Coturnix japonica: one gene and its partners. The protein of the gene in region 2 purifies or fractionates together with the protein of the main gene of each other region. This does not show direct contact. Links are inferred from orthologs where the notes say so. Each region holds a gene or a part of one and is shown on either strand. Other genes may lie near its edges.

Region 1 (4,551 bases), on a different chromosome or scaffold from region 2:
GACTACTGCTGCAAAAACAGAGTTAGGATAAATACAACTCCTACAGTGATTTCAGACTCTTAATGAGCACAGCCGTCAACCTGCTGGGCACCACAGGATGGACACGTTGCCATCTGAAGCATGTTCTGTGACCCTCGTATCGCCTTACTAAGAAACGCTTATGTTTAGGGCAGACATTGAGGTTTCCATGTGCAGGCTGCCTGCCCAACCACTCACATTAACCCACTTCCCACAATGGCTCAGCTTTCTTTGCCAACACAGCACACCATGGAGAGCAGCCCCTCACACCTGCTTGAACACCACTGCTGGTGCCGGACATCACTTCTGATATGTGCACGATCAGAGCTCATTTTATAACCTTAAGACTATGCCTTCCCCTCAGGTGGCATATTTTAAACTAAGAGCCTCTACACATTCCGGGCACCACTGACAAAACGTAAACAGTTACTAGAAAGCTTTAGAAAATATTTTTCATGACAGTAAGATACTTCCAGGAATATTTCCCCATGAAGACTCAAACAAACAGCAGTGCCACCATCTCTCTAAAGTCCATCTACAGCTGACAGACAAACAAGCTGGAAATGATGGGGTGACAAACACCCCAAAGCCAACCTCAGTCGTACAGCACAGCCCAGCTCCTCCGACACAGGAGCTGCTGTTCCTCCTTAGACAAAGGGAATGTTTGTGGGGAAAAACATTGCTTCAACACGAACAAACAGAAGTACTATTTCTGAACTGTAATTCTCCAGGCAAGAACATTTCTTTTTGACTCAGGCCCAAAACGAAGCTGGAGATTTACAATGAACTGTAATACTCAGTGTCTAATGGCAGAATGGGTTTCATACAGCTCAGTAATTCACCTCACTCCTACAAAGTGAATGAGTTCCCATCAACAGCTGATTCATTTGTGCATGTTTCTGTTCTGTTGCACTGAAAGAGTAAGTGATGAGCAAAACTTTCTCCCATTAGTAACCCCAACTACTGCACCTTTAACACTTCATAAGTTTTTAAATGAGTAGGACAATTTGAGGCTGTAAGGTCAGTTCTGCTGGCCACGCACTCCCAGTCCCTATTTCCTTCTTCAGTATCCTTCACTGATACATAAACCATAACAAATATCAATTTACCTGAAAACAAATCACACCAATAGTTAGCACATTTGTATATATATATGTATATGTATATATACATATATGTGTGTATACATACATACACACACATACATACAAGTATATACATAATGGATATTCTTCTGTTTGCAAGTAGACCCTGAAAATAATAAAATCATTACAGCTGGATGCACAGTACCACATTACAGGTATGGATGCCTCCCACAAAATTACCTGAGAAACAAAGAGATCACAAATTAAAATCATAATTACTATGAAGCCCACCTGCATTTTGACGGGATCACAGCCCTATTTGAAAAGCTCCCATTTCCCCAGCACAGCAGGGTGAAACACAAAGCAGACAGACCACGCTGCAGTCACTATGTAGTAACTTCAGATCATGACGGATGCCAATTGCATGCCAACCATTATTTCTATTAACCAAAGGCAGACCTGCAGTTTGCAAGTATGTAAAGTTACACACCTCAAAAATAATCACTTTTCCATGAATAAATGGGGACCTCACGGCTCCGTACACAAAGCAGAGAGCACTCCGTTCCTCTGTCCATCCATACAGCCGTCTCCCTCATGCTCACCATTCTTCCTTCACATGTATGAGCAGTACATTCAAAGTCCCCACAACAGCTCCCACAGCTCTGCACACACAGCACTGCTTCCTACATGCAGTTACGGCTCAGAGAGCACCGCCAAGGGAAAGCCCATGCACAAGGCCAGGTGATGGAACAAGTTCATGAAAAAGCCAAAATTAGACTTGCATTCATTCCCACAGAAGGAGGCCGGGACTCCTTTCCCAGTAGCTGAGCGCTGAGGGCTCCTGCTCCACATTCTCCATAGGTATGAACAAAGTAACAAATAAGAGCAACAAAATAACAGAGAAGCCAGCAGACGGAGGCATAACAATGACACACAGCAATGAAAAGAAAAACGTTCAACAAAAACATCATTCACATTTCCAGTCCATTTTCTTCTTTCCCTTCCTTCTTGCAAGACAACCAACAGCACTCCCCTCCTTTCTGCTGGAAATGAGACCCCACCACCACCAGCCACATCCAGCGCTCACAGAGGGGAAGGGCCCAACGCCCCCCCCTCCATCCCCACCCCGCACCGTGCATTCCCACACACACATCAAGCCCCCAACCCCACCTGGCTGCCAGCCCCCCCAGCACGGCCATGCCCAGCCAGAAACAGGGGCTGTGGGCAGCAGGTGCACAGCCTGCTGGTAAACCGGCTTCCAAGGGACGCTGCTTCTGCGTGGAAACAGCCAATAACATAATTCCTGCACCATTAAACCAAACAATCAATCCAAGTACAAAGTTGTCCATTACCAACGACGGAGAAATACAGCATCAGTGCTACCCGGCAGACAACATCTTCGGTTGTTTCACCCCAGGGATGGAATAAATGATTATTTCTGCACCCATGGTGTCCCGGGGCAGGCACTGTGCCAGGCGGGGCCGTACCAGGATCTGACAGCGGCCCGAGACCCGCGCAGCGCCCCGTGCCCGCCCGCTGCCGCCCTAATGCTGCTGTCACAGCGACAATAGAGCAACCCCGGCCCGGGGGCACCGAGCGGAGACACGGGGAGACACGGAGAGACACGGAGAGACACGGCCGAGGGCGCCGCGCCGGGGGAGGGGCCAGCGGAGGAGCAGCCCCACGGCCCGGGCTATAAAGCCCCCGGCAGCCGCACCCGGCGCCAAACCCGCAGCGCCCGGTGCGAGCCGCCGTGCCGGCCCGCCCTCCCCACAACCCCCACTTCCCAACCCCTCACCTCCTCGGGCACTCACCAGCGAGAAGAGATTGGAGTGGCAATCCTCCAGGCTGGCCCCGTTCGCCACCCAGTTGGCCGCTGCAGTCATGATCCTCGGCGAGCCCCAGCGCGGGGCATGTCTGAGGAGCGGGGCCCGGCGGCGGGGGGAGGCTGCGGGCGCTGCCGGGCGCTGCCCGCTGCCCCGGGAGCGCTGCTGTGCCGGCGGGCGGGGGGGCGGCGCTCAGGCGGCTCCGGCGGGGGCCCGCTCCGGCGGGGGCCCGCTCCGGCGGGGGCCGCTCAGCAGGCGGCGGCGGCGGCGGGCAGCCCTCCCGCGGGCCTCCAGGCCGCCTCAGCACCGCGGAGGAGGTAGAGGAGGAGGAGGAGGAGGAGGAGAGGGGTGGGGGGGCCCGGGGCCCTTCTTCCGCGTCCAGCGCCGGCCCCCCCGGCCGCGGCGGGGCTCGGGGCTCCTCCCGCGGTCCGGCGGCGGCCCCTGCGGGGCGGGGGAGGGCGGCGGGCAGTGGCGGCGACGGCGGGCGGGGGGCGCTGTGCGGAGCCCGTGTCCCTCCCCGCCCCGCCCGGCCGCCCCTCGCTGCTGCCGCCGCTGGCGGTGGGTGGATGGTGTTTTCCTCCTCCTCCTCCTGCTGCCGCCGCCGCCGCCTTGTTTACGCTCCGTGCGGGTCTCCCGGTGCTGCGGGAGGCGGGCGGCGGCCCGGGCCCGGAGTGGGAGCGCTGTCCGTGCCCGTCCTCGCCCCCCTCCGCCTGGCGCTGCCCGCACGGCGGCCCCGCTCACCCGCTCCTCCTCACACACTCGCCTCTGCCTCTCTCCACTCTGACAGCAATGGCGGCCGCCAGCCGCAGCTCGCTTCGCCATTGGTCGGCGCCTCCCCACGTGACTCGCGGCGGAGGGCGGGGGCACGGCGCTGGGGCTCCCCCCGGCCCCTCCCTCCTCCGCCGCAAAGATCCTCCGCGCCGCTGGGGGCGCTGCGCTGGGGGCGCTGTGCCGGGAGCTGGGAGCTGCGGCCGGCAGCGGAGCGGGGCCATCGACCCCGGGCGGGGGAAAGTTGCTGGGCGCCGCCCTGAGGGCTCCGGGCGGGAGGAGCGCGCTGCGGGCGGGGGGCGGCCTCGGGGCGGCCGCTGTGCGGTCGCTGTGCCGCCCCTTCCAGCCGGCGGTGTCTCGCAGCACCTGCCAAGTCCGCGAACTGGATCCGAGAGCGGGAACGCACGGACTGCCCCGCAGGGTCCCGCTCACAGCGAGAGCTTGGCCCGGCTCGTAGGGCCTCCAAGTGTCCGGAGGAGCTTCGCACACCGATGTGGTGGGACTGGTGTAAAGGGACCTGGGAGATACCCGACGTGTGGAACTCGGCTATGAAATCACGGAATCACAGCATCGTAGGGGTTGGAAGGGACCTCCAGAGAACATCGAGTCCAACCCCTGCCAAAGCAGGTTCCCTACAGCAGGTCACTCAGCTCAGCGTCCAGGTGAACCTTGAATATCTTCAGAGAAGGAGACTCCACCACCCCCCTGTGCAGCCTGTCCCAGTGCTCCCTCACCCTCACTGTAAGGAAGTTCTTGCTCACATTCATGCAGAACTTCCTATGCTCCAGTTTCTGTCCATTTCCTGCCTCCACACACTGCTGAAAAGAGTCTGGCCTCGCCACTTTTCCCCGCAC
Region 2 (3,854 bases):
AGACAGAATTCCCATTGGCATTTGTACAAGTAACACATATTGATGCTGATGAATCATTAAAGAAATTCAACAGAGACATCAGATAACCAGCTAAATGAAACTCAAAGCAAAGCAATTCCTCCTACTACTTTCGAGTTAGAATATAATGGAGTAAAATTGATGCACAGGACTACAGGAACAAATTAACTTGCTCACGCTTATTTTTATTCTGCAGAGATATTTTTTTTTAATTATTATTATTTTATAGATCTAAGTCAGACTTGGACAAATTGCAAACATTCCTTCCTGGAACAGAAGACTGTCAGCTACAATTTAAGGGCAGAGAGCCAGATACAAATTTAAAACTGGATAATCAGATCAGACAGTTTAGCAAGTGATGTAAAGGGAGCACACAGATCATTATTTCACTGCCTGTGCTGTTAAATCCTAGAAGGAAATGGTCATGGGAGGTAAAAAAGAATTTAACCATCTCAAAAAAAGGAGAAAAATTAGATTTAGACTGCTAAAAAACTTGCAAGGTGGAAACTTGCCAACAGTTTGGAGAGCTGTGCAAGGATTCTGTAATGAACATCATCTAATGCAGCACATCAGCTCTCAAAATGCAGATCAAAACAGACCAGCCATAAATACTATGTAGTCAGACAGCTGTAGTGATCTGTCCAGACTTCAAGCCTGCCTGGAACTTTTCAGAAAGGAAACCTTGTTGTCTTTAACCTTACACTGCCCTCAGTACCTGTGTGATAATTTGCAATTAAAAGAGTAAAAGAGAAATAGGAGAAAAATGTCTGGCACTGAGAAAGCAGTTGTGTGTGGAGGAGGTACGGGTGGAGAAGCCAAAGCAATTGCAGAGTTGCTTTGTTTTGTTTTAAATCTGTTTAAAATAGCCTGAAAACGTTTCTTGAACATGGTGCACTCTTGAGGGTTGGTAGCAAGCAGAATCCCTAACATGCTTTAAAACATACCTTTACTAAGCTAACTTCCTTTTATCTGATTTGAAGAACGTGGTTGAATCAACTCTTTGGACACTTAGTGTCACTTTTTCAGAGAAAAGAATCATAATTCTATTAAGCAGAGACAAAAGTTCAAGTCCAAAAACAATTCAGTGATACTTCTTTTATGTATGAATGCTACTGAAGCAAAAAGCATGAAAGCTATTCAACCCCTGCCACAACAGAGATTACACACGCTCATGCCCTGCTTCAGCATGATTCATACTGATGAACCAAACCTGTGCTATCATGTAGTCTAACTTTAGAAGTAAATTTAGTAAGATACTGGAACAAACTACAGAATTGTTCCATATGTGTGATGATACGAGGTAAAACAAAGCAGAAACCAAAGGAGAAAGCCTGGCTCTAATTTTGACTTGCTTCCCAGAATCTGCCTCTCACACAGGACTTAACCTTGCCAAGAGCCAAGTATTTTGAATGTGATATGATGCAGCATTTACATTCATGAAATAGTTGCAGTGGCTTCGCTAAGATTATTCTCAAATAAAGCTACACACATATTTACATGCTTTCCTGGGGTGGTTGAGTCCTCAACACTTTAGAGGGTGAAGCAGACGTTTTTACTTCCCTAATAGGCTTTAAAGCTGCATTTTTATCTAATGTATCAGAGCACGGAGCTAAGGTTATGAGGAAAATTCATTAAAACATTATATTCATATTTATTGCAGTGGGGAACAGAGAAAACAACATTTTGCCTCCAATCAATCAGAAGCAGCAAAAATTCAAGAAGTACCTGATAATCTGAAGGCATGACAGGCCCGCCTGAGTTAGCGCCTGAAGGCCCTATGCGTGGTTTCTTGTTTGGAGGCACCTGGTTGAGGCTGGAGTCCTGGCTGTGCTGGAGTCCCGCACCCGCGCCCCCTCCGCCCGCACCCGTGCCCCCGGCCGTCCCGTTGGTTTGGGTGCTGTTCTGCTGCTGCTGCTGCGGTTGCTGCGGTGCGGCCTGCGGCTGCTGCTGAGGTGCTGTTTGCTGCTGATGTTGGTTCTGCTGCTGCTGATTCTAAGGGAAGAAAGAAGTGACAGCACACCATCATTCGCTCTGTACTTGTTTGTGATCCTGACAGAGTCACTAAGCTGGGTGCCACTGTGCTGCTGGAAAGGCAGCAGGCCCACGTGCTCGCCAGGAAAGCAAGGCCAGGTAATGCATAACATGAGCTCCCTGCGTGCTCCTGCCTGCCTCAAATTGGGGTATCTCATTTGTGGCTCACTTCTTTCCATTGTGGTTTTGTGTTGTTTTTTCTTTGTTTGTTTTTTAACAAAGCAGGATTGACTAGAGTTGGCATGACAGCTTAGTGATTGCTGCAGCTAGGCAAGCACTTAGGCCAGAGTAACAGTGAGCAGGATGGAAGGAGCTATTTATAAACACTTAATAAGCAGAATCAAAGCGCCCCAAATTTCACTGGTTCTCAGTGGCAGATGTGGCGAACCACAGTACATTTTCCTAAGTGCTTTAACAGCCCCATTCACTTAGAACTAAAACCACTTTTCCAACTTCCACAGATGATGCACTGCAATCATCCAAAGGAGGCTGGCAGTGTTGCCATCAGAAAGGTAAGCAAAACAAGACCAGAAACATTACATCATTTCTTCCAGTTACAAGGAAATTCTGTGGCAGAACCAAAAGCAGGTTCCATTACCCTTTTTCTCTCTTTCTTTTAAAAGCACCTTGGAAAGAGTGGTACATTGGGAACACAGTCCAGCATGGTACCTAGCTATAAGGTCTGAAAATCTTACTGAGACAGCAGGAAGTGACAAATGACCAGAGAGAAACAGCTGAAAATAGAAGAGAAGGACAAAGGTGAGATAAGAATCTGGCATGAGAAAGAAAAGAATAGCAAAGGAAGAGAAGTGAGGCAATTAATACAATACCATGGCCTAACAGGGAGAAAGAGCAAAGTGCCACAGAAGGGAGGGAAAAAGTTAAGGAGAACACAGAAGCAGAAGAGTAAAAGGTGCAGCTCTTCTGGTTTCAGAAGCTATGGACTGGAAAAAGCATTAAGGTCTAGAGAGGTTAGAAAAGTAGCAAAATTGCAACTCTTCTCCCTATGGTTAGACACTCACAAGGAAAGACCACCTGTGTTTGTCTGCTTTTGAGCATTACAGAAGACTCCTCCAAGAGAAGAAGCAAGTAAGAGAACTGCAAAGAAAAGCAACTGTGCTCCTAATGTCAGGTATGTAACCTGTTCATCATAGAAAGCTCTGCAATTTTCATGTCTTGAATTAAAAATCCCTACATTTAAGTCACACCCCCCAATCATAGTGTACTGCATGGGAGTGTGGAACATTTCAGGATAGTCTTTTTTCCCTGTGATATCTGCTTATGTAGTTCTCAAAGGTTTGGTATGGCAGCCTTTATTACATCCTCATGTTATCAGTTAATCAGAAATCCTGACAACCAACTGCCACTAGCACTAAATTGCTGATGCTCTCAGTCACGGCAAGCCATTTCAGTTATCTCAGAAAAATGACACAAAAATCTATATCTATGCCACTCATCACAACAGTTTCCCAAGATATAATCAGATCAAATTTGCAACGGTGTATTCATTTAAAATCTCAAAGATCTTAAATTTGCCTCTTCAAGGGCTGCTGGATGATACGTATTTCCATTTCACACTGAGCAAAACCAGTAATACATCCTACCACTAGTAATCCTCAAATGTCATCTCAGCCAGACTCTGTTTCTACGGGGATTTAAACTGTAAGAAGTTAAACAAAAGTCTGAAACAGGCTTGTCATAGAATGCGTTAAGAAGTAATTTATCTTATAATAGCGGTTTGAGCTTCACATACCAACAAATGCCAATGACTAAGGCAATATCTGTGCTAGATTCTGAGACTTGTA
Region 3 (3,908 bases), on a different chromosome or scaffold from region 2:
ATTTCTTTTAAAAGAAGTCTCTCAAGGCACGGTGTGTTGGCATATTACAAACTATCTTTTGTTCTCGGTGTTTGACACTTATTCCCCAGGAAGAGGTGTGAATCTACTGCTTACACTGAGATAAATGAAGTCAGAAAATCACACTGTTCTGTAATACTACAGGGTTGGGGTTGTTTTGTTTTTTGTTTTATTTTATTTTTTGCTTTAATTCCTTTTAAACTTTTTTGAGGGGGAATATTTATTTTAAGATTTTTTTTTTTTAATGGAATGTACTAATTAAGGGAATTCAGTGAAATGTCATGTTAATGCAACAGATTTTGTATTAAAATTCTGTACTTGGACCAGTGAAGCAGTCTCAGGTGTTCTTAATGTAATATAGAAAACACAGGCGTGTTCTGGTTTGATTCACCTTCTGGAAGGTTGCTGTCAGCATCACCCTGTCCAGCTGATCATGGGAGGAGAACTGTTCATGTGCTTGATGATCTTCTTAGGGGGCAGAGGTGGTGGCAGATCAGTGGTTTGGCCTAGATGTGTTCGCTACAGGAATGTGGTGGAGCTTTTAAACGGGTGTCTAGCAGAGGTGCTCTTTAAAATTCAGCTTCAATGTAAGTCATATGGGTTGTCTTGTAGTGCATCACCAAATCAACATTATTGTAATGAGCTCACAAAGCTGCTGTGCAAGCATGAAGACGTACTACATGCTAGATATGCTACGACAGCATGCAAATACCATGGATGCACATCTTCCTGGAGTATTGTTAATAGCTGTCACTTTATTTGAGGAAGATCTACTTTATTTCTGTGTTCACTCAGTGAGCTTATTTAAAGTAACGCTGTACTGACAATAAACAGTGGCTCAACGTTCATTATGATGGATTTAACTGGCTGTAGAATTAACATTTTGTATTATGACTAAGTCGTGTACATTTTGGTACAGAACTTCTTTTTCAGTTTGAGTAAAATAATCCTAGATTTACTGGCTTAATTGTGATACTTTCAGATTACCTCATGATGCAGTGAAATAACCTAGCAAACAAAAGGTTAAGGAAAACTGTCCAGCATACAGTGCAGTATTAAAGACTGAAGTGGGTCTGTGATACCAGCACTTCTCACCTGGTATTGCAGAAGCCGTTACATTAAAAAAATCCCTTTACAAGTACATCAAAGTAAGAGGAGAACCAAGGAAAATGCCCAACCTTTACTTGATGCAGCGGGGAACGTGATCACTGAGGAGAAGGCTGGGATTCTCTGAGGAGGAGAAGGCTGAGTTCCTCGATGCCTTCTTTACATCTGCCTTTAAGGGGCAGTGCTGTGTGCTTGGGGATGAATAACTGGATGTCTGTGAGGAGGAAAGGGAGCTGGTCGATGTTCGGCTGCTCCTCACCGCCAGGCCGCACTGTGGCGCCCGCCTCCTCCTTCAGGCCTTGCCTTTCTTCCCGCCGCCATCTTTACCACAGCCGCCAAGATGGAGGCGCCTCCCGTCACCATGATGCCCGTTACGGGCGGCACTATTAACATGATGGAGTACCTGCTGCAAGGTATGGCCGGCACACAGGGGCTGTACACGGGGCTCGGCCGCAGCGTGGGGCCGAGGCGGGCGGCGAAGGGGAGGTACCTCCCCGCGGAGGCCCCTTCGCCGCCTGCCTCGGCCCCGCGCTGCGGCGGGGAAGGGGCCATCGTCTGAGCCGTGTGTGTCCACCACAGGGAGCGTCCTGGACCAGAGCCTGGAGAGCCTGCTGCACCGCCTGCGTGGGCTGTGCGACAACATGGAGCCGGAGACCTTCCTGGACCACGAGATGGTGTTCCTGCTCAAGGGGCAGCAGGCCAGCCCCTTCGTGCTGCGTGCCCGGCGATCCATGGATAAAAGCGGCATGCCATGGCACCTGAGGTACCTGGGGCAGCCGGAGATCGGAGATAAAAACCGACACGCTTTAGTGCGAAATTGTGTGGACATCGCCACCTCGGACAACCTGACGGATTTCCTGGTGGAGATGGGGTTCCGTATGGATCACGAGTTCGTGGCTAAGGGACACGTGTTCCGAAAGGGGATCATGAAGATTGTGGTGTATAAGATCTTCCGTATCTTGATGCCTGGTAACACGGACAGCATCGAGCCGCTTTCCCTCTCCTACCTTGTAGAGCTTAATGTTGTGGCACCAGCCGGACAGGATATGGTTTCTGATGATATGAGGAACTTTGCAGAGCAGCTGAAGCCTTTAGTACACCTGGAAAAAATTGACCCTAAGAGGTTAATGTGATGAAAACTGGCTTGACTATCATAGCATTGCTGTAGCCAGAAGTGAGTGCAGGGACTGGTTGGAGTCCTATGCACACAGAACTTTTGTTCAGGGCTCCACTGCTTCCTCTCTGTGCTGGAGCAGTAAGCAGTATTAAGGTGCAACACTTATAAATAGAGATATTGACTTTATGTTGTTGGGGAGCAAGGGGTAAAAGGCTTTGATGTATTGGTTTTGTTTTTGTTTGATGCTCAGCCAGCATTTGGTATTTGGTTATGCAGGTTACATATATGCATAAGAGCAGAATGTATGTAATTCCCAGAGATGGAAGAGAATAAAAGTCTGTTTAGTGCATTATTCATTGGATAGTCGGTCCCTGATGTCTGAAAGGAGTAGTTGCAGGAATTGCTTAGTTTTAGATTTGAAAGACCTGAAAGATTCCCTCCTAGCAAATCCAGACTGGGAGCTGTTTGTTATTGGAAGCAGCTTTGTTGTTAGTGTAGAACAGGAAGCTCTGGGTCTGCAATTATAACCTGGGGGGAAGAAACAGAATTAAGACCCTTCACAGCCAATATGTTGGCTCAGAAAGTTGAGCCCAGTGCCCCCGAATGTGCCTGTAGAGAGTCAGGTGGATGGGGCCAGGCTTTGACTGTTGTTGCCCAGTGTTGGGACACAGGAAGGTCCATCTCAAAGTGAGGAATTACTGCTTCATTTGGGGGTGACGTGGAGCAGGCTGCACAGAGAGGCTCCTTCCTGCTTACAGCCACTTCCATCAGCCCAGCACGATGCATTAGTTTCACAAAAGCAAGGTCAGGCATCCCACTATTTCTGTGTTTTTGTGCTCTTTGTATGTTTTATTAAAAATATATCTTCAAAAATACCCGTCAGCTATTTGCATTAATTTTGTATTTTCTTTGCAATTCTTTTTCACTCAATACAAGCCAGTATTTTGGGCAAACATGAAGTAGTCTTCATTTCTCAAGATCATTATGGAAACGTACAACCACGCTGCCTTTTACTAAAACACACCAATTGCTGTCAGTCGCTGTCATGCTTTAACAGCACGAATGTTGCTGTATCTCCAGCACTCCTCAGCCCTGGGTCTCCATTCTCCCCACACACTCTCCCCTAATGTTGTTATTTCTGTACAAATGAACACAGAAGCTGAAGTACAACTTTGGAAGCACTCTATATTGTCTAACATGCTTCTGATATGCGAGTGCAGGGTGAGACGTTTCACACATCAACAGCTTATGTGGATATTCCAGCTTTCACTTCAGCAACCTCGGTAACACAGTCAAGCTGCTTTCTGCTAAGTGCTTTACATACACTGTAGTGTATGTGTATGAAGCGGCATACAGCTTCAGACACAACCCAAGGGCTGGGTACGGCAGAAGATACTGAAATAAGTCTCCTTAAACACTAGAAAGAACAACAAAACAGGGTTTTTTTTTTTCTTCATAATTTTTAATACTTTTCAACTTTAAATACCGGTTTTAAATTTGTGATTGTAACATAGAAGAGCCAACTTTTTGTAATTTTTAAAACTTATCATTAGGATCAATAAAGCTATTATATAACAGTTACACTCTACACACTCAAGGTACTCAAAAATATGATTCATGTTCTGAGTCTGTAGATGAACAGCGGCGATTCAAATACAGCGTTATC

The links. The genes of interacting proteins can lie anywhere in the genome.
Region 1: the proteins of CDK19 (region 2) and MED13L purify together in Homo sapiens (affinity purification with mass spectrometry; 5 studies listed by BioGRID and IntAct, counting the BioPlex papers as one, with this or other methods). This does not show direct contact. The link is inferred for Coturnix japonica from reciprocal best matches to the Homo sapiens genes CDK19 and MED13L.
Region 3: the proteins of CDK19 (region 2) and MED18 purify together in Homo sapiens (affinity purification with mass spectrometry; 5 studies listed by BioGRID and IntAct, counting the BioPlex papers as one, with this or other methods). This does not show direct contact. The link is inferred for Coturnix japonica from reciprocal best matches to the Homo sapiens genes CDK19 and MED18.

What each region holds. Positions count from the first base shown.
Region 1 is NC_029530.1:10,336,931-10,341,481, reverse strand, and holds the start of MED13L (mediator of RNA polymerase II transcription subunit 13-like), read right to left. Parts: upstream 3,092-4,551; 5' UTR 2,990-3,091; coding exon 2,918-2,989; intron 1-2,917. UniProt on the Homo sapiens protein: Component of the Mediator complex, a coactivator involved in the regulated transcription of nearly all RNA polymerase II-dependent genes.
Region 2 is NC_029518.1:60,492,044-60,495,897, reverse strand, and holds part of CDK19 (cyclin-dependent kinase 19), read right to left. Parts: intron 2,011-3,854; coding exon 1,744-2,010; intron 1-1,743.
Region 3 is NC_029547.1:21,930,172-21,934,079, reverse strand, and holds MED18 (mediator of RNA polymerase II transcription subunit 18), read left to right. Parts: upstream 1-1,352; 5' UTR 1,353-1,465; coding exon 1,466-1,538; intron 1,539-1,704; coding exon 1,705-2,258; 3' UTR 2,259-3,117; downstream 3,118-3,908. UniProt on the Homo sapiens protein: Component of the Mediator complex, a coactivator involved in the regulated transcription of nearly all RNA polymerase II-dependent genes.